Macaca mulatta: one gene and its partners. Each later gene encodes a partner of the first gene's protein in a complex. Links are inferred from orthologs where the notes say so. Each region holds a gene or a part of one and is shown on either strand. Other genes may lie near its edges. The genes, in order: PPP1CA, CDCA2, PHACTR1, TOX4, MRAS, WDR82 and PPP1R7.

The links.
Region 2: the proteins of PPP1CA (region 1) and CDCA2 are in contact, whole or in part, in a crystal structure (PDB 5IOH), measured with the Homo sapiens proteins. The link is inferred for Macaca mulatta from reciprocal best matches to the Homo sapiens genes PPP1CA and CDCA2. Residues at the interface, in NP_002699.1 of Homo sapiens: Gln20, Gly21, Ser22, Pro24, Tyr70, Asp71, Leu73, Arg74, Glu77, Tyr78, Asp166, Lys168, Ile169, Asp242, Leu243, Tyr255, Phe257, Arg261, Pro270, Ser284, Glu287, Thr288, Leu289, Met290, Cys291, Ser292, Phe293, Gln294, Ile295, Leu296; in NP_689775.2 of Homo sapiens: Lys391, Arg392, Val393, Thr394, Phe395, Gly396, Asp398, Leu399, Ser400, Pro401, Glu402, Val403, Phe404, Asp405, Glu406, Ser407, Leu408, Pro409, Ala410, Asn411, Leu414, Gly417, Gly418, Thr419, Pro420, Val421, Lys423.
Region 3: the proteins of PPP1CA (region 1) and PHACTR1 are in contact, whole or in part, in a crystal structure (PDB 6ZEG), measured with the Homo sapiens proteins. The link is inferred for Macaca mulatta from reciprocal best matches to the Homo sapiens genes PPP1CA and PHACTR1. Residues at the interface, in NP_002699.1 of Homo sapiens: Pro24, Arg43, Gln68, Tyr70, Asp71, Arg74, Tyr78, Arg96, Gly97, Lys98, Ala128, Ser129, Arg132, Ile133, Tyr134, Gly135, Tyr137, Asp138, Trp149, Lys150, Thr153, Asp154, Asn157, Lys168, Ile169, Met190, Arg191, Pro192, Thr193, Asp194; in NP_001309240.1 of Homo sapiens: Arg424, Lys425, Ile426, Leu427, Ile428, Arg429, Phe430, Ser431, Asp432, Tyr433, Val434, Glu435, Val436, Ala437, Asp438, Ala439, Gln440, Tyr442, Asp443, Arg444, Arg445, Ala446, Lys448, Pro449, Trp450, Leu453, Lys458, Ile461, Arg462, Glu464.
Region 4: PPP1CA (region 1) and TOX4 share a complex: the UniProt entries of both Homo sapiens proteins name them as parts of the PNUTS-PP1 phosphatase complex. The link is inferred for Macaca mulatta from reciprocal best matches to the Homo sapiens genes PPP1CA and TOX4.
Region 5: the proteins of PPP1CA (region 1) and MRAS are in contact, whole or in part, in a crystal structure (PDB 7TXH), measured with the Homo sapiens proteins. The link is inferred for Macaca mulatta from reciprocal best matches to the Homo sapiens genes PPP1CA and MRAS. Residues at the interface, in NP_002699.1 of Homo sapiens: Pro178, Asp179, Gln181, Gln185, Arg188, Ile189, Met190, Pro192, Thr193, Pro196, Asp197, Gln198, Trp216, Gly217, Glu218, Phe225; in NP_001078518.1 of Homo sapiens: Val6, Pro7, Ile31, Gln35, Lys36, Ile37, Val39, Asp48, Ser49, Tyr50, Leu51, Lys52, His53.
Region 6: PPP1CA (region 1) and WDR82 share a complex: the UniProt entries of both Homo sapiens proteins name them as parts of the PNUTS-PP1 phosphatase complex. The link is inferred for Macaca mulatta from reciprocal best matches to the Homo sapiens genes PPP1CA and WDR82.
Region 7: the proteins of PPP1CA (region 1) and PPP1R7 are in contact, whole or in part, in a crystal structure (PDB 8U5G), measured with the Homo sapiens proteins. The link is inferred for Macaca mulatta from reciprocal best matches to the Homo sapiens genes PPP1CA and PPP1R7. Residues at the interface, in NP_002699.1 of Homo sapiens: Arg23, Pro24, Leu40, Arg43, Arg96, Gly97, Lys98, Ala128, Ser129, Ile130, Asn131, Arg132, Ile133, Tyr134, Gly135, Tyr137, Asp138, Lys141, Arg142, Ile146, Lys147, Trp149, Lys150, Asp154, Asn157, Pro192, Thr193, Asp194, Asn271, Cys273; in NP_002703.1 of Homo sapiens: Asn84, His85, Tyr86, Arg87, Arg106, Gln107, Leu109, Tyr128, Asp129, Gln131, Asp148, Ser150, Phe151, Phe170, Val172, Glu192, Gly194, Ser195, Phe214, Gly216, Lys217, Ser236, Gln238, Ser239, Tyr258, His261, Ser283, Glu300, Trp302, Asn304.

What each region holds. Positions count from the first base shown.
Region 1 is NC_133419.1:6,982,069-6,986,170, forward strand, and holds the start of PPP1CA (serine/threonine-protein phosphatase PP1-alpha catalytic subunit), read left to right. Parts: upstream 1-1,302; 5' UTR 1,303-1,378; coding exon 1,379-1,433; intron 1,434-1,959; coding exon 1,960-2,091; intron 2,092-2,240; coding exon 2,241-2,471; intron 2,472-3,498; coding exon 3,499-3,603; intron 3,604-3,947; coding exon 3,948-4,102. UniProt on the Homo sapiens protein: Protein phosphatase that associates with over 200 regulatory proteins to form highly specific holoenzymes which dephosphorylate hundreds of biological targets.
Region 2 is NC_133413.1:27,250,485-27,253,496, reverse strand, and holds part of CDCA2 (cell division cycle-associated protein 2), read right to left. Parts: intron 2,014-3,012; coding exon 1,842-2,013; intron 1-1,841. UniProt on the Homo sapiens protein: Regulator of chromosome structure during mitosis required for condensin-depleted chromosomes to retain their compact architecture through anaphase.
Region 3 is NC_133409.1:169,832,778-169,835,750, reverse strand, and holds part of PHACTR1 (phosphatase and actin regulator 1), read left to right. Parts: intron 1-1,545; coding exon 1,546-1,686; intron 1,687-2,973. UniProt on the Homo sapiens protein: Binds actin monomers (G actin) and plays a role in multiple processes including the regulation of actin cytoskeleton dynamics, actin stress fibers formation, cell motility and survival, formation of tubules by endothelial cells, and regulation of PPP1CA activity.
Region 4 is NC_133412.1:94,349,340-94,352,839, forward strand, and holds part of TOX4 (TOX high mobility group box family member 4), read left to right. Parts: intron 1-1,363; coding exon 1,364-1,606; intron 1,607-2,495; coding exon 2,496-2,756; intron 2,757-3,071; coding exon 3,072-3,302; intron 3,303-3,500. UniProt on the Homo sapiens protein: Transcription factor that modulates cell fate reprogramming from the somatic state to the pluripotent and neuronal fate. In liver, controls the expression of hormone-regulated gluconeogenic genes such as G6PC1 and PCK1.
Region 5 is NC_133407.1:41,398,178-41,401,677, forward strand, and holds part of MRAS (ras-related protein M-Ras), read left to right. Parts: intron 1-248; coding exon 249-348; coding exon of another isoform or gene 349-352; intron 353-2,315; coding exon 2,316-2,395; intron 2,396-3,500. UniProt on the Homo sapiens protein: Signal transducer in the Ras-MAPK signaling pathway that regulates cell proliferation and survival. Core component of the SHOC2-MRAS-PP1c (SMP) holophosphatase complex that regulates the MAPK pathway activation.
Region 6 is NC_133407.1:115,789,816-115,792,848, reverse strand, and holds part of WDR82 (WD repeat-containing protein 82), read left to right. Parts: intron 1-638; coding exon 639-738; intron 739-1,610; coding exon 1,611-1,727; intron 1,728-2,291; coding exon 2,292-2,447; intron 2,448-2,900; coding exon 2,901-2,970; intron 2,971-3,033. UniProt on the Homo sapiens protein: Regulatory component of the SET1/COMPASS complex implicated in the tethering of this complex to transcriptional start sites of active genes.
Region 7 is NC_133417.1:146,428,249-146,431,748, reverse strand, and holds part of PPP1R7 (protein phosphatase 1 regulatory subunit 7), read right to left. Parts: intron 2,696-3,500; coding exon 2,640-2,695; intron 2,003-2,639; coding exon 1,937-2,002; intron 1,272-1,936; coding exon 1,141-1,271; intron 147-1,140; coding exon 1-146. UniProt on the Homo sapiens protein: Regulatory subunit of protein phosphatase 1.

The DNA of each region.
Region 1 (4,102 bases):
GGCCCACCTCCAGTTCTGAGGTTACTGGCATGTAAAGCACCCAACTCAGGGTTCCAACAAGAATTAAGGTTAATTTATCGTCTGCTCCTTTGAGACAGAGTCTCACACTGTCACCTCGGCTAGGGGGTGCAATGGGCCTTGGCCCACTGCAACCTCCGCCTCCCAGGTTCAAGTGATTCTCCTGCCTCAGCCTCCCCAATAGCTGAGATTACAGGCGGCTGCCATCATGCCCAGCTAACTTTTTGTATTTTTAGAGAGATGGGGTTTCACCATGTTGGCCAGGCTGGTCTTGAACTCCTGACCTCAAACGATCCTCCCACCTCAGCCTCCCAAAGCGCTGGAATTACAGGCGTGAGCCACTGCACCCAGCCATGTCTGCTCATATAGTAATTCTTTTTACGTGCACACCCTGCAATATTACTGTGCTACTCAAAAGCTAATTATGGGGCCAGGCTTGTTGGCTCACGCCTGTAACCCCCCCAGGACTTTGGGAGGTCGAGGCCAGTGGATCACTTGAGGTTAGGAGTTCAAGACCAGCCGGGCCAATATGGCGAAACCCCACCTCTGCTAAACACACAAAAACCAGGCGCAGTGGCGCGCGCCTGCAATCCCAGCTACTCCAGAGGCTGAGGCAGGAGAACCCCTTGAACCTGGGAAGCGAATGTTGCAGTGAGCCAAAGTCGCGCCACTGCACTCCAGCTTAGGCGACAGAGCAAAACTCTGTCTCAAAAAAAATAAATAAATAAAAGCTAATTATGGGACTTGTAAGAAAATATTAATTTATCATGCCCCAAGGACCAAAGTGCGCTGGAAGTTCAGCCGTAGCTGTCTTTGAGTGTGGTCAGCCGCCTGGGGGCCACGGAGACCCACGAAAAAGGGGGTCGTACGTGAATGCGAGGTCCAGGTCTTGCACCAGTCTGTTCATATCTCTTGAGCCTCAGTTTCCTTTCCTGCACTTCGAGCAGTTAACCCTCAGTGCCTAGCAGCCGGTTATTAATATATTCACAACACCCTCCACCCAGGGCAGGGGTGGGAACGGCTGTTCTGCTTTTGAAAGAGAAAAACAACTTCCACAGTTCTTCCGGCCCCACATCCTCTGAACCGGGCTGGGCGCCTCCTCTGGGGCGTAACCAGTTGGACGCGCCCCCGACAGACCCCGCCGCCAAGGCCCCGCCCCCCAGGCCGCGGCGCTTCACGTCCAGCGGGGGCGCTAGAGCGCGGGGGACCGGGCGGGGCGGGCCCGGGAGGCCCGGAGGCGGGGCCGCGGGCCGGGGGCGGACTGGGGCGGGCGGAAGGAGAGCCAGGCCGGAAGGAGGCTGCCGGAGGGCGGGAGGCAGGAGCGGGCCCGGAGCTGCTGGGCTGGAGCGGCGGCGCCGCCATGTCCGATAGCGAGAAGCTCAACCTTGACTCGATCATCGGGCGCCTGCTAGAAGGTTGGTCGCGGCGGGGGAGGCCTGCGTCCGCCGCTCCCGGGCCCCCTGCCGGGCCCGGAAGTGGCGCGCGGGCGGGCCCCCGGGGCCAGCTTAGACTGGGCGGGGACGGGCCGCGAGGTTCGGTGGCCGCAGCCGCCCCCCCGCGGACGCGCCTGAGAGGTCCTGGGCCCGCTCCGACGCGCGGAGCAGCCCCCTCTCCCGGGCCGGGGGCGCACGGGTTGCCTGGGTTCTTGAGGCGAGGGAGAAACCCGGGAAGCCCGGTCCAGGAAGGGGTCCTGCGCTGTGAGGTGTTTGGGTGGCAGCCCCCTGCGCACGACAGTCGCCTCCCGAGGCGCTGAGGGTAGTTGGGGGCTTCCCTTGGGAGGCTTGAGGCCGAGGTCCCGGGAGGCTCAGCAGCAACAGCTGCCTGCGGGCAAGGAGCGGCCGAGGAGGCCTAGGCGCCCCCGGAGGTATCCATGGGGCCACCCGTGTCGCCCACCCTCCACCTGTCAGGGTCCCGGGTCTTGACACCCCATTGCGCCCCCAGTGCAGGGCTCGCGGCCTGGCAAGAATGTACAGCTGACAGAGAACGAGATCCGCGGCCTGTGCCTGAAATCCCGGGAGATTTTCCTGAGCCAGCCCATTCTTCTGGAGCTGGAGGCACCCCTCAAGATCTGCGGTGAGCCCCCCGACCCAGGTCCCCTTGCTTTCCTGAAAGTGGCACTGGCCCCCACAGAGTTCCTGGAGTCCTCCTCCCTTGAGCCCAGTCCTGGTCCTGGGTTCAGGTCTAGACCCTGCATCTAGCTTACCCGATTCCCTGGGTCACAGGTGATATACACGGCCAGTACTATGACCTTCTGCGACTATTTGAGTATGGCGGTTTCCCTCCGGAGAGCAACTACCTCTTTCTGGGGGACTATGTGGACAGGGGCAAGCAGTCCTTGGAGACCATCTGCCTGCTGCTGGCCTATAAGATCAAGTACCCCGAGAACTTCTTCCTGCTCCGTGGGAACCACGAGTGCGCCAGCATCAACCGCATCTACGGTTTCTACGATGAGTGTGAGTGGTCTGAGCGTCTGGGGCTGCCCGGGTCCTGAACCACACTCCTTGTCATTCAGTGGGACCTTCACATTGGCCTGATATCTGACAGACACTTGCTAGACTGTGCACTCCACGAAGGCAGGGCCCAGGTCCGTTCTTGTGCCTGCCCTGCCCCTCCTGGCATGGGGTCTGGGGAATGGTTGCTGACTGAAGGACTGTCCGTATTCTAGTGCTTTCCCCCAGGGCCCTGCCTGGTGACGTTCCCTCTACATTTGCTACTAAGCATTTAGGATGTTTGCAGATGAGCTCTGCTGTCCAGAAGCTGAGATAAACCAGACCTGTACTTGGCCCGGCTCGTGGGCCGGGGCGTGCAAGGAGTGCCAACCCTGAGGCTGGTCCAGATTGGAACTCAGTTTCCAGTGGACTCGGGTGCTTTAGAATTACTTCTGGTGGGAGGCTGAGGCGGGAAGATCACTTGGACTCAGAAGCTCCAAGTTACAGTGAGCTATGATCTTGCCACTGCACTCCAGCCTGGGTGACTGAACAAGACCCTGTTTCTTTACTTTTTTGAGACGGAGTTTCGCTCTTGTTGCCCAGGCTGGAGTGCAGTGGTGTGATCTCAGTTCACTACAACCTCCATCTCCCGGGTTCAAGCGATTCTCCTGCCTCAGCCTCCCGAGTAGCTGGGATTACAGGCATGCGACACCACGCCTGGCTAATTTTTTTGTATTTTAGTAGAGACAGGGTTTCTCCATGTTGGTCAGGCTGGTCTTGAACTTCTGACCTCAGGTGATCTGCCTGCTTCAGCCTCCCAAAGTGCTGGGATTACAGGTGTGAGCCACCATGCCCTGCCCAGATCCTGTTTGTTTAAATTACAAATTAAAATAAAAAGTAACTAGAATTACTCCTGGAAGGCTGACAGGCGGCAGGGGTGGGGGTGGTTTGCATTGGTGCCTGACTCTCTCCCATCTGCGGCTGAATAGCCCAGAGACCCCGGCTAAGGGTGGAGCAGGCAGACCCCTCACAGCTACCTCCCTCTGGGCAGGCAAGAGACGCTACAACATCAAACTGTGGAAAACGTTCACTGACTGCTTCAACTGCCTGCCCATTGCGGCCATAGTGGACGAAAAGATCTTTTGCTGCCACGGAGGTGAGCTCTCCTTAGTTGTCATCTGGGAAGTCACTCCTTTCAGGAAGTGTCTCCCATACCCCCCTGTGCTGGGCTGCACTCACTTCCTTGATGTGCATCCTACATGGGGCGGGCTTGTCTCCTTTCTCCCAGGAGCTCTGTGCTCCGGAGGCCAGGGGCGCCTTTGTGCCTGTTTGGGAACTTGAAAAAGCTGAGGGGAAGGGGATGGCTTCTGCCTGCCTAGGCACCCAGGAGACCAGTGGAGGGACCAGGAGGGTGGTGGAAAAGGTGAGGCTCACTGGCCAAGGCTTCCTGGAGGAAGGATGTCCTTGTTTGAGGAAGTGACCTTCCTTCTGGCCCTCCAGGCCTCTCCCCGGACCTGCAGTCCATGGAGCAGATTCGGCGGATCATGCGGCCCACAGACGTGCCTGACCAGGGCCTGCTGTGTGACCTGCTGTGGTCTGACCCTGACAAGGACGTGCAGGGCTGGGGCGAGAACGACCGTGGCGTCTCTTTTACC
Region 2 (3,012 bases), on another chromosome or scaffold:
GCGTTGTGGCACGTGCTTGTAGTCCCAGTTACCTGGGAGGCTGAGGCAGGAGAATTGCTGGAATCCAGGAGGTGGAGGTTGCAGTGAGCCAACACTGAGCCACTGCACTCCAGCCTGGGCGACAGAGTGAGACTCCATCTCAAAAAACAAACAAACAAACTAACTAACTAACAAACAAAAAGATATATATTTCGCATAAAATCCAACATACTAGAGAAGGAAGGTAAAGGAGATATAGGGAGATAGGAAAGGAGAAAGAGATAAAGGAAGGAAGGAGCTGAATTGCTTTAAATCCATGTAGCAGGTGATACCACTGGTTACAGATAAAAAATGCTTTAGGTATTTTTAAAAATAAAGTCTCTAATAGGATGCAAGATGGAAAATTTTACTACAATCACTGTTTAAAAATCTTTTGAAAAACTCCTGTTAGAACCAGAGATGTAATGAAAATAAGACTTAGTTTCCACTCTCAAGGAGACTGAAGTTTTAGGGAACAGGGGAACACAGAAAATAGATAATCATAAAACCAGGTGATAGAAGTATGTTGCAGAGTATTCCTGGAAAAACAGACAGTACAGCAAAATCTTGGAAGATAAGCAACATTAGGTCAGATTAAAAAGAGGTAGAGTGGTGGATGCCCTGTCGCAACACAGCCTGTGAGAAAGCATGGCAGGAGAAGAGTGTGTGCCAGGACATGTGCGACAGAGGGGTGGCTGTTTATTTAAACTCCTGTGCTACCCTAATGTTAAGCAGGACGCAGAAGCCAAGAGTCTATGGTGGCATGTACCTCATTCATCCTCAAGTCTATTATTAATCTTGTATGGTATTCTGCAAATAGGAGGCAGGCTACAAATATCTGATGATTGACAAAGGTAGTCATTTAAAAAATGATTCTATACAAATCAACACACCAAGTGGACACACATTATCATTTTCAGGCAAGACAGCGTGGCTCGTGTCTGTAATCTCAGTACTTTCGGAGGCTGAGGCAGGAAGACTGATTGAGCCCAGGAGTTCAAGACCAGCCTGGGCAACACAGGGACACCCTATCTCTACTAAAAATTAAAAAAAAAAAAAAAAAAAATCCTTATTATTTTCATCAAGATCCAGTACGTTTAAAATTTGGGCATTAGAAACCAGAAACAATTCCATTTTTTATCTACCCCATATATCAACTGACTTGATAATAAAATAACTTTCAAGGTAATCAAGCGCAACTTATATGTATTATTTTTAGAAAACGCTCAGTAGTGCCAACTCTAACAAAACATCCTTAACTCATATAAGGTATACATATTACTGAACCATAACCTCGTTCACATTTTTTGTTCCTTTTTTTTTAAAGACAGGGTCTTGCTAGGTTGCCCAGGCTGGCCTCAAACTCCTGAGCTCAAGCAATCCTTCCGCCTTAGGCTCTCAAATGGTTGGGATCACAGGCAGGTGCCCCAGCTCTCGTTCACTGCATCCAGCTCTCGTTCACTTTCAACGATGGACTACACCACCAAATGGAATTTATTTTCACAAAATGCTTTAAAAAGCAAAAGGAAATAGGATGCACAGAAATTATTACTGATATTATAAGCAAAATCTTGTGTCTTGGTTTTCCTGGGGAAAGGATCCAGAGTTTCCATCAGATTCTGAAAAGGGTCTAAGCCACCTACAAGTTAAAAGTGACTCTCTTTCCTCCACTAGAAATGCTCATGGTAATGTAAGGAAACGTTGCTTTTTAAATTTACGTACTCTTTACATAGTGAATGGGAAAAAAGTGAAAAAAGTAAAATAGCAACGAAGAAGGTGACGAGAAAAGATAAAATATAACTACCAGGAAAAGGTGAGGATACCTGAACCCAGTCTTCGGATGCTTGGAACTGAAGGTGTCATCTCAGAGACTTCAGGCAGCTCAGGAATAGGACTGAGGAGGGGCTTCTTAGAAGCAATGTCTCTTTCCCCATATAAAGATTTCTGAACACTTTTCTTTCCCTTTCCTTTCTTCTTTCTGCAACTTTTTAAAACCTGAGAAAATGCATTAAAACATTGCAATTGAGAAAGATGTAGCACCACGTAAAACTTTGACCCTTTAACTAGTTATTATTATTATTATTTTTTCAGACAAGGCCTGGATGAGAATCCAGGCTGGAGTGCAGTGGCACAATCTCGGCTCACTGCAACTTCTGCCCCCCTGCTCAATCAATCCTCCCATCAGCCTCCCAAGTAGCTGGGACCACAGGTGCACACCACCACGACCGGCTTTTTATTTTGTATTTTTGGTAGAGATGGGGTCTCACCATGTTGCCCAGGCTTGCCTCAAATTCCTGAGCTCAAGCGATCCTCTTGCCTTGGCCTCCCAAAGTGCTGGGATTACAAGTGTGAGCCATAATGCCCAGCCTGACCCTTCAACTTCTATAATATCTCTAATTATTGTTTATACAGTGCTTTATTGAATAGATCACTTTTATATTTCGTTTAAAATTGTAAGCATCTAAAACGAGGGTAGGAAGTCATGTAACTTCCACAAAGTCAAATAAACTACAAAGCAGGATTCGGTTTATAAATTGTATGGTAGCTTTCTACATTTCCACAAGGCACTTGCCAAAACAAGGGCTGGATAAATGAAAAATTATATGAGATGCTTTAGAACTAACTACATGAATGTAACGTCATAAGATATTTGTAAGCAGCACACAGTTATGATGACTCAGGATTAACCTAGTGTGAGTTACATACTGCAAGCTATGGGAGACTGCTTTATGCTCCTAGGTCTGGATGAAGAAACAGTAGGTGTGTATGTAAAATATGAAGAAAACACAAAGCTAGCTGAATCTGCAGATTCAAACAACAGATGATTTAATCAAGATTCAGTCAAAACAAAATGGATTTTAACAAGCACAAGCAGAAGATGGAAGACAAAGGTCTGACATTAATTGATGGAAAATGTAGGTTTCCATAAAAATTAAAAGTCACTTAATATATCCAGAATGGAGTATTACATTCAATTCTCAGTGCCATATCAGT
Region 3 (2,973 bases), on another chromosome or scaffold:
AGGCAGGGGGGACGGCACCAGAGGCGGCTGAGCCCCTGATCCCCAGAGATTCCTGCCTTTGGCTGAGAGGGAGCTGCAGGCCTGCCTTGGCCCTGTCCGGGATCTGTCACCACTCTATTTGATACCTGCCAGCCATCTATTTGATACCTGCCAGCCATCCTCTAATTGTGCTCTGCCAGCATGGGAGCAAGTTGGAACATTCTCGCACCAGCCAAGGGTGTCTGGAAGCTGCCTGTTGCAGAGTTGAAACTGCCAGGGTAGTTTGGACTCCACTGTGTTTGTTTTATGGGCCTGAGTTGCAAGATTCTATGAGACAGTGTCTTCTAATAATAGAATTACACAGCGTTTAGGGCTTGGAGGGAAAATTGCTTTTAAGTAGCACTGGTTGAACATCAGTTGACAGCATCTTAAAGACAGCAATTGTGTTGCTCCAGGAGAAATAAACCTAGTGACAGGAAGAGATAATAGAAATGTCAGCCTTGTGTTGCTAAAGTAGAGGAAGGGGTCCTTATGGCTAATATCGGGAGATGGCAAAATACATATGAATCTTCCTTTTACTTGCCTCATCTCTCATTCCTGCAGTCCTTCATCAGGGACCATCCAAAGGGCTGGTCCTGAGTCACCTTTGGCATAAATGTGGCCTTTTTCTGTACTTACTCAGCTCCGCATTTGTTGACTGACCTTCCCCTTGAACTTCTTGCAGAGGGCTGTCACCAACGTTTGGGCTGACCTCTTCAGCCAGCAGATTCCCATCCCACATACCCCGAGTTTGCATACCATTTTCACATACGCTTTTTTGCATCTAAAATACACACAAAATGTATTGCAAACCCATCTTGCAGAAGGCATTCAATGTGACACACAGATGTGGACTTGCAAATCCAAAATAAGACAGAATCATTGTAGAATATCCCTGTCACCTGGCGGGAGTAGGACAGATAAGAAGAAATCCACAACAGGAGCCCACAGCCAAACAGAAAGACAAGCTTCTAGTAACGACTGGGACTCAGCAATGTCATGAAGATAGAGACTGTTTACTATCGATTTGTATAGGTGTAAACACAGTATTGTGAATATGCTTTAGTCCTGATCTTTTTATATTCTATACTGAAATATGCACAGGTAAAATGATATGATGCCTGCAATTTGTTTCAAAGAAATCCACATGTGAATGTAGTCAAGAGTCGATCATTGTTGGTGATAGTACACCAAATTTATGATATTAGTCTCCTTCCTTCTTTTGAAAATTTACATAATAAAAGTTTTTTTTTAAGTTGAAAAAAAAAAAAGATAGAGGTTGGCCTAGAGGGTATGTAAGGGATAACAAAGCTCTCTCTTAGGACTGAGAAAGGGCCCGGTCCCAAGAGTCAGGAGACTTGGGTCCCCCTACCCCGGCCCTCCCCCTGCCCCTGCCCCTCACTCACTATGCAACGCATCCATTGCCTCACTGAACCTTATTTTCCACACCTGCAAGTTCACAGACAGGACCGAGTGCCATGGTCAACCCGTCTGGCTGACTGGGTCTGTCTCTCTCCCTCCCTGCAGCTCAGTCAAAGGCCCACCGTGGAAGAGCTTCGGGAAAGAAAGATCCTCATCCGCTTCAGTGACTACGTGGAGGTGGCTGACGCTCAGGACTATGACCGCAGGGCAGATAAGCCGTGGACCCGCCTCACTGCTGCAGACAAAGTAAGCAGAGGGGAGTGCTGGAGAGTGGGAGGCAAGATCATCTGCTGGGTGTCCCGCCGGGCTCACCGCTGGGGAGTGTGTAGGGAGACCCGCATCCAGGCCTCAGCTGCAGTTCCCGTAATGGAGTGTTGGGACCCCAACACCTTTCCCCAGGGGCCACAGATAATCTGCAGAAAGGCTGCTGAATCGAAGAAAACACAAGGCACATAATACTGTGCCCGTTTTACAGGAGGAGGAGCAGCAGCCTAGGAGGCTGTGCCCAGAGAACGAGAATAGCACTGGATAGGCGTAGACAGGTGAAGGCACGAGGCTCTGGGCTCATCACAGTCCTTCCGTGTAGGGGACACTGCTGCCGGCATCCAACGGGGGATTCACCAAACCAAAAGAAAAGACAAAGTGGACACGTAACCTCAGGAGAGAAATAGGCACAAATCAAAGAGACGTCGCAAAACATATCTCACTGCACTAGACCCTCGCCGATTCAGAAAACAAAAAGAATAATCTGAAGTTCAGTTTGTTTTTTAGGAAAAGCAGTGATGCCAATGAGAAATCATTTTCTCTGTCCACTAGACGAGGCATCAGAATGAACCTCTGTTTGGTAATCCTCTCTGATTCTAGTCTGGTCACCATGAGGAGCTGGAGGGTTAAGGGCCTTTTGTAAAATGTAGTCTGTGCGCCGGGCGCGGTGGCTCACGCCTGTAATCCCAGCACTTTGGGAGGCTGAGGCGGGTAAATCACTTGAGGTCAGGAGTTCAAGACCAGCCTGACCAACATGATGAAACCCCATCTCTGTTAAAAATACAAAATTAGCCGGGCGTGATGGCACGCACCTGTAATCCCAGCTGCTCGGGAGGCTGAGGCAGGAGAATTGCTTGAACCCAGGAGGCGGAGGTTGCAGGGAGCCAAGATCGCACCACTGCACTCCAGCCTGGATGACAAGAGTGAAACTCCATCTCAAAAACAAACAAACAAACATATATATAAATTTATTATATATATAACAAATATGTATATTTGTTAAATATATTTATAAATATATATATTTATTATATATAATATATATAGAGAGAGAGAGTCTGGAATAATGATTCAGCCTAATGTGTAGGTGACGATAGAAGTCAACAGTCTCAACAGTCCTGCCTTCACTCTGTCCGTTTCAGGGACCTGGGGTTTTCTTATATGATTCAGCAGGAAGTCATCTACGGCCCAGGCTGGCTACATTATCACCAACCCTGGATCCAGGAGTTGCAGGAAACATGGATGCAGGCACATTGCCGCACTCGGGTG
Region 4 (3,500 bases), on another chromosome or scaffold:
ATGGTTATTAAGCCATTATATGTATCAGGCAATGTGCTAAGCTTTTATGCATGAAATCTCACTTATCCTAATAATAACCATATAAGGGGATTACCATTGTAATTCCCATTTTACAGATGAAGAAAACTTGTTCAAGGTCTTGTACCCAGGTCTCTCTGATAGCAGTCTCTTGCTATTATTTATAATTGTCTATTGTTGCAAATGCCACCATTTAGATTTCAGTGTCAAAACAGAACCATAGCACTTAACATATCTTAGATCATATCTTGGTCTGTTAGCTGCATGAGTGGTGGCCTCATTCAGAAGAGAAAGAATGTATTATTATTGACCTAGTTGGACTCACAGGAAGAGATTGGGTCTTTAGCCAGCTGGAGTAATCCTTTTCCTCTCTTAGAGAGAAGCTTGTTCAGCAAGACTAGCATTTTTGGCATTGTTGAGGTTTTCTGAAAATCGTATACAAATGGGAATCTTGGTCGGGCGCAGTGGCTCACGCCTGTAATCCTAGCACTTTGGGAGGCCAGGGTGGGTGGATCACGAGGTCAGGAGATCGAGACCATCCTGGCTAGCACGGTGAAACTCCGTCTCTACTAAAAATACAAAAAAATTAGCCGGGCGTGGTGGTGGGCGCCTGTAGTCCCAGCTACATTGGAAGCTGAGGCTGGAGAATGGCCTGAACCCGGGAGGCGGAGCTTTCAGTGAGTGGAGATCGAGCCACTGCATTCCAGCGTGGGCGACAGAGCGAGACTCTGTCTCAAAAAAAAACAAAAAAAACAAATGGGAATTTTTAGTTGTTAACATTATAATTTCTAAAGTGGAGAAGAAGTAGGAAACTCTAAGTGCAAATATTTTAGAGGGGGATAAAGTTTCCATGACAGTACATTTTAGCATCTGTTTGAAAGGAACCTAAAACAACAAAGTACAATTGGCTGGCTGACAGCAAATTTCTGTGGCCTAACAGTTTAGTTGTAATAATTGTGAAATAACTGCTCTATTAGAATCTTTAGAGAGATTTCAAGGATCATAGTAAGCAGGTTATAAAGGCTGTATTCTAAGTAATGGTACTGGAAGAATTTTTCATTAGAACAATAGGCATAATTTAGGACAAAAGAGTGGTAATGGTAGAAAAGAGATAAAAGAATTGAAAATTGTGACTGATGTTAGCAGCCTTGAATGCACCAAGTGACCAAGGGTATCAGAAGAGAGATTGGTAAAAATAATAGGTTCTAAGAAATTGATTATAAAATAGGATCCTAAGCAGAAAAAATGTACCCTGAGAATCTCTAGTACCCCATTATGTTCTTCACTTAGTAGTATGCCATTTCTCCTCTTTTCGCTAATTCTTTTCCCCCTTTTTTCCCTACAGACATTCCATACACCAAGCTTGGGAGATGAGGAATTTGAAATCCCACCTATCTCCTTGGATTCTGATCCCTCATTGGCTGTCTCAGATGTGGTTGGCCACTTTGATGACCTGGCAGACCCTTCCTCTTCACAGGATGGCAGTTTTTCAGCCCAGTATGGGGTCCAGACATTGGACATGCCTGTGGGCATGACCCATGGCTTGATGGAGCAGGGCGGGGGGCTCCTGAGTGGGGGCTTGACCATGGTAAGGGGCAAGAGATTGTCAGGCTTACCCCAGCTAACAGGCATGGCATTAGGGGAGACAAAAGTTACTGTATTCCCTACTACACTTGGGTATTACTTGTGTGTCTTCTTGTGGCTAAAGGCTCACCAACAAAGACTTAGTTTCACCTGAATAAATGAAATTTACCATGTAGGTAGATTTTACTTGAAAAATAATTTAAAATTGTACAATGTCTGGTTAGAAAATTATTGTGGTTTTTGGGAAAGTGTTTTCTGCTTTTATTATGACCTTCACATCCTAGGATTCAAATTTGAATGTGATAGCTGGCACGTGGAGGGATTTATTAAAAAATGGTCTGAATCATGTTGAGAAGCCAGCAGATCAGAGCTTTTTTTTAAAAAAAAGGTCTGAGTCAAATATAGTATTGTAGATTACTATGTAATATAAATCAGTATGTTGGGCTTCTGGCACATGAAACCAGTAGCACATCTTCACACTCTATATTTGATGCCAAACTTCTGTAATATTGGCCTATTTATGCTGACTGCCTGTGTATTATTTTAAAAGCTATTATTTTGGGAGGGTACAGACAGGAAGTTTTTCTTTACTCAATGTGTTGTCCCTACTTATAGATTACTGAGTAAGTTGATAGCTCTTTAACTTCTCCAACAGTATGACTTCTCTGATTATTTTTAGTTCTTCTTTAGAGTGCAAAGAAGTAAATTCATTAATTTCTGTACTTTTTAAAAAAGCTTATGTTTTTATTTTCAGTTTTGAAGACTATTTTATGTTTTGTATTTTAAATGATACAATCTGGGTAGGCAGGGAATTTATAAGCTATCTTAAATTTAGGGGGGAAAGTGGTGTTTTTTTATATTTACTGTTTAATTAGTCCTTCTGCTTCTCTCAGGACTTGGACCACTCTATAGGAACTCAGTATAGTGCCAACCCACCTGTTACAATTGATGTACCAATGACAGACATGACATCTGGCTTGATGGGGCATAGCCAGTTGACCACCATTGATCAGTCAGAACTGAGTTCCCAACTGGGTTTGAGCTTAGGGGGTGGCACCATCCTACCACCTGCCCAGTCACCTGAAGATCGTCTTTCAACCACGCCTTCACCTACTAGTTCACTTCATGAGGATGGTGTTGAGGATTTCCGGAGGGTGAGGCATTCCCTGCCAAAATCAATTCTGCTGTGATATTCTAGGATAAAATTCTTGGGATACAGAGCTTAATCAGTATTCTTTAGCCTTACCATGCCATCTCCTCTGCTCTTTTCTGGGTATGGGGTTCCACCTACCAATTTCCAGTTTATAATTCTCTCAATCCCTATTCTTATTGGTTCTCCATACTTGACCAGTGTCTTTTAACGCTATTTCCATGATTTTTAGCATTTCTGAAAATTCCATACATGTGGCTAGTTTCCAGACATAATACTTGTCATCATCCATTGTGTAATTCTTTTTCTCTCTTAACAGCAACTTCCCAGCCAGAAGACAGTGGTGGTGGAAGCAGGGAAAAAGCAGAAGGCCCCAAAGAAGAGAAAAAAGAAAGATCCTAATGAACCTCAGAAACCAGTTTCGGCATATGCTTTATTCTTTCGTGATACACAGGCTGCCATCAAGGGACAGAATCCTAATGCCACTTTTGGTGAGGTTTCAAAAATTGTGGCCTCCATGTGGGATAGTCTTGGAGAGGAGCAAAAACAGGTGAGCAAATGTTAAGGAACTAGTAGTGAATGTTCCAAAAGTTTTTAAAGAGATAAAAATAGAGGTTTTCGGCTGGGCGCGGTGGCTCAAGCCTGTAATCCCAGCACTTTGGGAGGCCGAGACGGGCGGATCATGAGGTCAGGAGATCGAGACCATCCTGGCTAACACGGTGAAACCCCGTCTCTACTAAAATATACA
Region 5 (3,500 bases), on another chromosome or scaffold:
CCCTCGAGGCCTCACCATTGGCCTTGCAGTGGACCTGAGGCTTCAAGCCAAGACAGCCAGCAGCCCCCAGGCCCTTTCCCCTAACCCTAACCTCTCTCTGGAAAGGAGGAGGGAAGGGACTGCAGTCCAGGCTGACTGGGGAGGTGCTGTAGGCTGACTGTGCTATGCCTGAGATGTGGCTGCGCCACCTTAACTAGGTGTGAGGGGTGGTGGAAACCTTACAGAGCTGCTATTCCTTTGTTTCCCAGGGAGTCATTCCCGATGATCCTCGTGGCCAACAAGGTCGATTTGATGCACTTAAGGAAAATCACCAGGGAGCAAGGAAAAGAAATGGCGACCAAACACAATGTAGGTGTGTGCGTGTGTGTAGAGGGGGTCAGGAGATGTGTAAAAGCTGTTGCCTGGTCACCCCTGCAGTCCTGGTCTTTGGGAATGAAACTATTGTTTATTGAAGGGCTCCCCTTAGTTTAAGTCTTGTTGCTGCTGAAATCCTGCAATTCCAGGAATCCAGGTAATGCACATCAGTGTTTCTTCAGTGGTAGAGGCAGATCCCCTAGAAAGAAAGTAGAAGGTGTCTGGGACCTGGGGGGGATCATACAACTCAGGGACTTCTGAGCGATGGGGTGGGACCACAGGTGGCAGTGGTCTGAGGCCCTGGAGCCTGGGCCATTACTGAGCCGGCAGGAGTACAGGATGTGAAGGGGCTCCAGGTAGGTCCCAGCTCAAGTTGCAGTGCCTTCCTGCCTCCCCTGGGTGTGTGCGGGGAAGCACGTTGTCCTGACTCACAAGGGCCCCGTAGGACTGTACTGGCCACTTATCAGGGGCACTTGCCATGGCTGGATTTGGTGTCCAGCCGGAAGAGGCTCCAAAGCAGACCTCAGCACCTCTTACCAGGGCCAGGAGAAAGTGGAAAGTGTGCCCGGTTCAAACCCTGATGCTCTGCCGGCTGCTGTTGACCTTGAGCAAGTGCGTCACTCTGAGCTCAGTCTCCTGAGCTGCAGAATGGAGATACTTGCTTACCTCAGAGGGTTAATGTGAAGACTAAATGAGGTCAGGGATAGTGAGACCTGGAAAGCCAAACAGCCCACAATGAAGAGCAGTTTCCATTTAGTGTTATCAGAGGCTCAAATATTTGTCCAATGAATATTTCAAAGGCTTAAGCTCTGCCTTTTGTGCTCTGCCCTTTGTGTGTCTGTTGGCTACAGCAGAAGTGTGCACATCTGACCTCACGTGATGATGATGGATGGGAAGATACTGACTGGTTTGTGTTCTGGGCAGTGATTTACAATCTACTCCTCTAGAACAACAGCTTACCCTGTCACCCTCCTCCATGCATTTGAAGTGTTATTTTTCTTTTCCCCACTGTGCTTTTCTTTTTCCAGCATATTATAATGAAAGGCATTAATTTTGTAATCAGAAAAAACTTATGAAAAATCACCAAGTTATTCAGTCTAATCACACTCAGTTTACTTCCATCTGTCTCATCAAGCGAGGCCTGTGTGTTCCCCACCCTGCTCCCCGCCTTTGGGGAACGAACACTTCCTGCCTTGGCGGGGTCCCTGCTGTAGGAGAAGGTGAGCGCTCAGGAGTGAGTGTGTGCTGACCTCATAGAGTCTTTGTTCTCCTCCCTCTGCCAGCCCGAGGCTTGGTGCAGATCTGGCCCTGGAAACCTGCTCTGTGGGGCCACCATGGTCACATCTCCCGCTGTCTGCACCTTTTCGGCCGGGTGATGATTTCTCAGCATTGAACGTGCAGACAAAAACCTTGTGTAAACATGGCTGAGCTCCTAGGCTCATAGATACAGACCAAACAAGAGCTGGGCCGGGGTGGGGGCCAGCACAGATGGGCCAGGGTCACCTGGGCCCAGAGTCTTGGTCATGGCCCAGTCTCTCCTCAGCCTTTTCTACCAGTGTCCACTCTGGAGGGGCCCAGAAAGAGGGGCAGAAGTCATCCCAAGGTGGAGAAACAGACCTCAGAAAGAAAAATGGGTAGAATCAGAATGTATTTTAGTTTAATAAATGAAACAGTTTTTCATCTTCAAGTATGTAAAAAGATCACTTTATTCTATTTTTAGGGAGCTATTAAGTATCTCTGTGCCTAGAGAACAAGAGGGAATTGGAAAAGCCATTAGTAACACTTTCCAACCTGAAAGAGTGAGAAGCCCCAAGTGATGCCTGAGGCTGTTGGGGGCTGGGGCTTCTGTGGCGTGTTTTGAAAGCACCTGGGTTCCTCAGAACCTCTGAGCATTTTTAAGGGTGGAACGGGGCTTTGAGGATCTCTGTGCCACTTTGACCAAGTTGAGCTTTGCCTTCCAGATTCCGTACATAGAAACCAGTGCCAAGGACCCACCTCTCAATGTCGACAAAGCCTTCCATGACCTCGTGAGAGTAATTAGGTGAGCACTGCCCCCTCCCTAGAAGCGGGCCTCCACAGCATGGGTTGGCTCCTGGAGGCAGCTGGGAGCTTGAGGAAGCAGCTCCTCTTCTGAGGCCATGAGACTGTAGAATTCTGGGCCTATGTTTGGATTTCTTGTCCCTCCTTCCGTTTCTTTCTTTTGCTCTTTCCACCCACCTCTGCCCTCCCCACAGCTGCTGACGGGTTTGTGGGTGAAGTCTGCTGCACGTGCTAAGTGGAAATGCCTTCCTGTCTGAGGCAGCGGCTCAGGCTCCCTGGAAGGCAGCTCCCTGCAGCCTGGCTTCAGTGTTCTCCTCACGCCAAAGCTTTCAACACCGTACAAACTAGGTCTCTCTCCTCTTCCATGTCCTGATATCAGAGCACCCTTTGATATTTCCCCTGAACAACCAATATTCTGATTCCAAGGTTCAAATTTCAGAGGCATTGCACACGTATCTCCTTTCCTGACCCCATCAGCTGTCAATCTCCAAGTATTGTCAGCAATCCTAATGAAAGTTTCTTGTACATTCCTTTGCATGGTCAGGGTCCAGATCTTAATCACCTCATGCACTCATGACTAAAACAGCCTCCTGGCTGCATCTCCTGTCACCAATCTATCGCATTTCCCAACTCTTCAACATGCACAGCAGCCTAACCAGTGGGTCTCAGACACTGTGCGTTGAGTTTGTGGCCTGTATGCTGGCGCCTCCAAGGGCTGCTGGTGAGCTGTGAGATCAGCCCCGGGGCTGTAACCCCCACTATACACACATCCCCCAACATGCTTAAAAAGCTCATCTTCTCATTATTCCCCAGCATAATGAGGAAATATTACAGTCTTCACTTTATGTTCTGGCTGGCAGTTTTGCACTCTCAAAATGATTTTCTCATCCAGGTGTGGTGGCTCATTTCTGTAATCCCAGCACTCAGAGGCAAAGGTGGAGGTGGAGGAAAGAGGATTGCTTGAGGCTAGGAGTTCAAGACCAGCCTGGGCAACATAGTGAAGTGCCATCTTTACAAAAGGAAAGAAACTATTTTATCTTAGGCATTTTGCCTCCAATTAGGACGTGCTGCCATCAGGTAGCCTATGGTGATGTCTTGGTTGTGAA
Region 6 (3,033 bases), on another chromosome or scaffold:
CTCCATGTTGTTGCACGAGGCAGTACTTTATTACTTTTTATTGCCAAATAATATTCCAGTGTATAGATATAGCACATTTGTTTGTCCATCCATTAGTTAATGGACATTTGGGTTATTTCTACTTTTTGGCTATTATGAATAATGCAGCTCTGAACATATGTGTACATTTTTGTGTGGACATGTATTTTCAGTTATCTTGGGTAAATACCTAGGAGTGGAATTTCTGGGTCACATGGTAACTCTTGTTTTTTTGGAAAAACTTTTCCAGAGCAACTGTACCATTTTTACATTTTCATTAGCAATGTATGAAGGTTCCAATTTCTCTATGTCCTCACCAATACTTGTTGTCTCTCTTTTTATAGCTATGCTGGAGGGTGTGGAGTAGTATCTCATTGTGGTTTTGATTTGCATTGGAATCATATATTTTTATTTTGTAGCTTTATTATTATTTTTTTTTTTTTGCATTATACTAGTTGTCTTTGTTCCAGATATGGTTGTGGTATGTGTGTTTTAGTGTGCTTCTTAAAATGGCAATTTCAGGAGAACAGATACATATATATAGGCAGAGTGGTTTAGAATTCACATCCAATTTTTGCTAATATTTCGCATCAACTCCTATTTATCTCGATGTATTGCAGGGTGGTGGCCTTGTCCATGTCACCTGTGGATGACACTTTCATTTCTGGGTCTCTAGATAAGACCATTCGACTCTGGGATCTCCGGTCTCCTAACTGCCAGGTAATGGTACCTCACAGTTACGCTTTTTGAGCATTTTCTATGGTAGGCCCTATAATGAACTCTACCTCTCAAAGAAGGGAGAAAACAGTGGTTCCATTCTGGGATCCCAGGGTCTTTTTAAATTTTGGAGAAAATCTGTTTTCTTAGTTGGTAGCTGCTAAGCAAATACCCTAATCTAGTGCAGATTGCATTGTACTCTGTGGCTTGTTGTGGGGTTTTTGTTGTTTTGTTTTGTTTTTGTTTTGGTTTTCGTTTTGAGACCGGGTTTTGCTGTTGTTGCCCAGGCTGGAGTGCAATGGTGCGATCTCGGCTCACCGCAACCTCCACCTCCAGGGTTCAAGCGATTCTTCTGCCTCAACCTCCCAAGTAGCTGGGATTACAGGCATGCATCACCATGTCCGGCTAATTTTGTATTTTTAGTAGAGACGGGGTTTCTCCATGTTGGTCAGGGTGGTCTCCCGACCTCAGGTGATCCGCCCACCTTGGCCTCCCAAAGTTCTGGAATTGTAGGTGTGAGCCACTGTGCCCAGCCAGCTTAATGTTTTAAAAGTGTTCCTAGAGCTTTTAGCTTCAAGGGATTTATTTTTATTTGAATTCTGTGTCTGTAATATTGTGCAGTTAGAGTTGATCAGAAATTATCTGGAGACCTGTTTTTTAAAAGCTTCATTTTAGTTTTATGTTTGCTTTTTCTGTTCTGTAGGTAGACTGATATCTGTTTGTATGCCTTTCTTAGTTTTAATTGGGACAAGTAAATTATATAGTGGTAGGGTCCTGGATTCATTTTTTTCCCCATTGTACTAGCAGTCTTTGGTTGTTCCAGGTGTGGTTGTGGTATGTGTGTTTTAGTGTATTTCTTATTTCTTTTCTTTTAGGGCCTCATGCATCTGCAGGGGAAGCCAGTTTGTTCTTTTGATCCAGAAGGGTTAATTTTCGCTGCAGGTGTCAACTCTGAAATGGTCAAACTTTATGACCTTCGTTCTTTTGACAAGGTAAATCTTTGAATCTTTGAGCTATCTTAATATTATGGTGAAATAGACATGTAACTGCTTTTTTTTTTTTTTTTTTTTTTTTTTTTTTTTTTTTTTTTGAGACAAGAATTTTGCTTTTGTTGTCCAAGCTGGAGTGCAGTGGTGCAATCTCAGCTCACTGCAGCCTCTGCCTCCCAGGTTCAAGTGATTCTCCTACCTCAGCCTCCCAAGTAGTTGGGATTACACAAGCCCGCCACCACGCCTGGCTAATTTTTTGTATTTAGTAGAGACGGGGTTTCACCATGTTGGTCAGGCTGCTCTCAAACTCCTCACCTCTGGTGATCCACCCACCTCAGCCTCCCAAAGTGCTGGGATTACAGGCGCGAGCCACCACGCCTGGCCCTGTAAGAGCATTTTCTACAAAAAGAAAAATATGGTAGATATTAGAGAGTGGCAGAGAAGTAGCTCATTCTCTGCTTTCCTTAGTCAAAAAGGAATCTAAAGGAATAGGATGGGAATTGGCTCTAGCAGAAGAAATTGTTAATATGCCTTGGGCCTGGGGCTACTATTTTTTATCTTTTGCAGGGGCCATTTGCTACCTTTAAGATGCAATATGATCGAACTTGTGAGTGGACAGGACTTAAATTCAGCAATGATGGCAAGCTCATCCTCATTTCCACCAACGGCAGCTTCATTCGTCTCATTGATGCATTCAAAGGAGTGGTGATGCACACGTTTGGGGTGAGCTGATGGCCTTCAAGCATGGCTGTTTCCATGCTTATACTTCCTATGCTAAGAATTATGTTAGCTGGTTGGTGGAGACCAACAGTTACTCTTGACTTACTCATGAAGGCATGCACTTGTATTTTTTCTTCCTGCTCATTGAACTTACCTCCCTTGGATTCTGTAGACATTCATTTCTCACCAAGTGACCCAAGTTTGGTATTTAGATATAAAATAATGTCCTAAAAATAAAGTTTTCTTGCTCCCTTGAGTGTACCTTGAATACAGAGTTGAAGGTGGGAGTGGATTGTCAAGGATGGCAACCACATTTGGAAGCTTGGTGGTGTAGTACATGACAAGGAAAGGGTTTCATGGAAAGGAAGGTGATGCATGTGCTAAGTTAGTGTTTGTAGGCAGCTGTTTTTATTAACGGCTCTGTAACAACAAAAGAACTGCTCTGTTTTGTTTTAGGGTTATGCCAATAGCAAAGCTGTCACACTGGAGGCTTCATTTACTCCAGACTCTCAGTTTATTATGATTGGTGAGTTTCCTTTATCCCCTGTGGGGGTTATTTCTCTGGTACTATGCATTTTTTTGTTTAAAT
Region 7 (3,500 bases), on another chromosome or scaffold:
CCAGCTCTAGCATCTGTAGTTGATGTAAGTTGCTTAAGTTCTCAATTTTACTGATTTTATTGTTGACCAAGAAGAGTTTTTTCAGTCGTGTCAACTTGTCAACCCCTTCGATGTTTCTCAGCAGATTAAAAGAAATATCTAGAATCCTGAGAACAACCAAAACAGGTTTTTAAAAAAATTACATGAGCATAGGTTGCAGAGAACTCACAATTCAACCACCCTAAAGGTAGCACCCCATTAGGGGACTGCAGTCACTGTGGGACGGGGCAGGGTGGGGTGGGGTGGGGCAGGGGGTGCGGTCTGTGCCCCTGCTGCCGCCTGGCTCACACTGATGCTGTCATGAGGGATTTGGAGGCTGCCCAGGAGCCCGGAGCAAGCCAGAGGCAGCCTACAGGCTCCTGATGCCCTGGCTCCCAGGATGGTATTTGAGGCAGAAACTGTTACATTCACACCTGTGCCCATGACAGGACCTTGCACCAGGCTCTGCACACAGAAGGGGCCTGAGAAGTACCGAATTAGAAACAAAACAAGCAAAAATGAATGAGCAACAGAGGGCAGAAATCCAGGTAAAGTTATAACTAGGACCTGGCTCCTTCTTTTTTAATTTTAATTTTTGTAGACAGGGTCTTGTTATGTTGCCCAGGCTATCTCAAACTTCTGGGCTAGTGATCCTCCTAATTTGATCTCCCAAAGCGCTGACATTACAGGTATGCACCACTGCACCTGGCGTAGAACCTGACTCCTTAAATTATAAATGTCACTTTTTTTTTTTTTTAATTTAAAAAAAGAGTATTCAAAAGGCAAGAGGAAATTCTGGATTAACTTTCCCCTCGACCAATCTCAGTATCATCCCTGAATGGAGGCTTTTCCAGAAGTCCCCACTGCAGCCTTCCCATCAAAGGTTTACTTTGCAAGTCAGGATTGTCCAGGAAGCCGAAGACATGCGTGAAGCCAACGTGGCCTCCTGGAGCCCTGAACATGGCAGGCAGAGCCTTGGGATTCAGACGCAGGGCAGGACCCTGTGGCAGAGGCAGCCTCTCAAGGGCCAAGAGCCAGCAGGAGGGGGGCTCTGGAGAGACTGGACACCCCCACCCAGTGGCCTCCCCACCATGCTGTTCTCCTGTGGGTCTCATGACTCACTCCAGCTCTGTTAGCGCCTCCAGATTCTCAATCTTCTTGATCTGGTTGTCGTAAAGATCCAGCTCTCGAAGACTCTGTAGCTCCTCCAGATTCTCAATGCATTTAATTAAATTTTGGCGGAGGCAGAGAGTCTGGGGGATGGGAAAAGGACAATTGACACCGGCACGGGGGAGGCCACGAGAAGGCCTCAGCTGGTACTGGAGGACACAGGACAGGCCCTTCTGGTGGAAGGACGTGTCTTCATTCTCCTGCTGTTTCCTAGAAAGGTGCTGACCTTTGAGAGGTAGGTGGGCAAGGGCACCAAGCTAGAATTCCTCGACACACCTGAGGATGGGCAGGAACCCAAAAGGAAGCAGGAGGCAGGCCCCCCACCAAGCAGGCCTAGTTGAGGAGGGAGGCGTTGGCCTGGGGTATGGGTGTTTGCCACTTCCTGGCAGAACATAAGAACCTATGGTGGGCTCAATTTTGAGAAACAAATTCAGATGAGATGCACGGAGGACCATAAAATTCACTGAGTGCCTAATTGAACACAGGCACAGAACTGAGGCAGGCCAGAGTCACAGGTCACTGGCCGCCTGAGCTCAGGAGAGCCAGCCCCAGGGCTGTGCCTCAAGTCCCTCGACTGCTGTCTCACACTTGCTGTGCTCCCAGTAAAGGCCTGCTACAAGGTGGAGGCAGCCATGCCTCCCACAGGCTGAGACAAAGACCACAACTTGGGACTGATGGCTCGATTCTGGACTTATCCACATCCTATGGGTGATATGGGTCATAGTCCCCTCATAAGAGTCCCTCTCACCTTCACTTTCTTCAGTACCTCAAATCCTTCAATCTTCCCAATGCGACAGTGATTCAAATCAACATCCTGAAACAAAGCGGAAATGTATACTCGGCTATAGCAAAGTGGCTGGAGACCTGTGTCCTAGAAGAGGAGCCATCAGAGGAGGCCTAGGAGTGGGCAGCAGTGGGGGAGGCAGTGCCAGGTGGGTCTGCAGCAGACAGGTGTCGGTGACAAGGTGTGCTGCGGGGGCTCTTTGGTTTAGTGATGACTTAGTTTTATGTAAAACTGGCCCTTAAAATGATTGGTACATGACATCTTTTTCTCATTCCCTAGACCCTGTATGCACAAAACATAAGCTCAGGCTCTTAGGATATGCACCCCATCCCATCACCATCAGAGACACGCTGGGGGCTCAGGAGGCCCAGTGGCCAGGCCAGTCATACACAGCCTGCGGCTGTTGGGACCCTCATGTATAATGTAATCATCAGACCCAGAGAATGTATGAGTCAAAGGCATCTCATCTGCCACACAATCCTCAAGGGTCAAATAGACATGGGGATAACAATCACTGGTAAGAAAAACAACATGAACACAGGACTCTGATCCAACCAAGGGAGGCTCAGGCAACCTCTTTAGGGAAGTAACTTACTAATCTCATACAAGATAACCTGACAGGTGGTCCATCACCATGCTCAAGGCTGGGCTGAGCAGGCAGCATTACCTCTGCATCTCTGTCCAGGTTGATGGTTTCCATGTCCACAGGCAGCTCATGTTCTTCTGAAAAAAATTAGAAAAAGAGGTTTGTTCAGAACCCCATTAACAGGAGGCATTGGTGAAGAGCTGCTTCTGGCCGAGGTCTAGGGCTGTTTGGTGCCCAGATCCAGCTCAAACCCTGAGGAGGAACCAATGAGAAAGTTTGCTGAGGACCTGGAGAATGTGGCAAGGGTGAACCCTGCTCCAACAATAGTGATGTTTTAAGCATTCTGATTTCCCTGAATTCAGATATTGGCAAAGGTCTCCAAACATTCATCTGTGCCTTTGAACTTCCAGAGAAGGGAAATGTGTTTTGAAGCTGTTAGTGGGAAGGAGGGGAGGAAGTAGCTGAGTGCAGGTGAGCAGGGCAGCACTACTGCCTTTCCGTGACTCCCAGAGCCGCAGAACTGGCAGCAGCCTGCCTCCTACGTAGCTTTTCTCTGTTTGTTTGTGGCAATAAACCAGGCCATTAGAATCTAGATCGTGCTGGGCACATCAGATGCTCTAGGATGGGCCTTTTATCACTTTGGAAGGTGGCCCAGCATCTACAAACACTTCCCTCTGCAAAGAGCAAAACAAAACAAAACATAGTTCAACAGATAGGATCAAAGAGGCTCACTGAATAATTTAAACACACTTCTCAATGGGGAGACTGATGAACTCACTCCAGCAGAGAAGCCCATTGGATTTCACGAGGACTCTCCACACCGGAGCCAGCCTCCTCTGTGCGGAGGCAGAGAGAGCTGCTCTCCCTGCTGAGGCGACAGACTCCCTGTTAAGCACTTCCTCATTTCATTTCATTGGAACCTACTTCAGCATATGTGCTGAA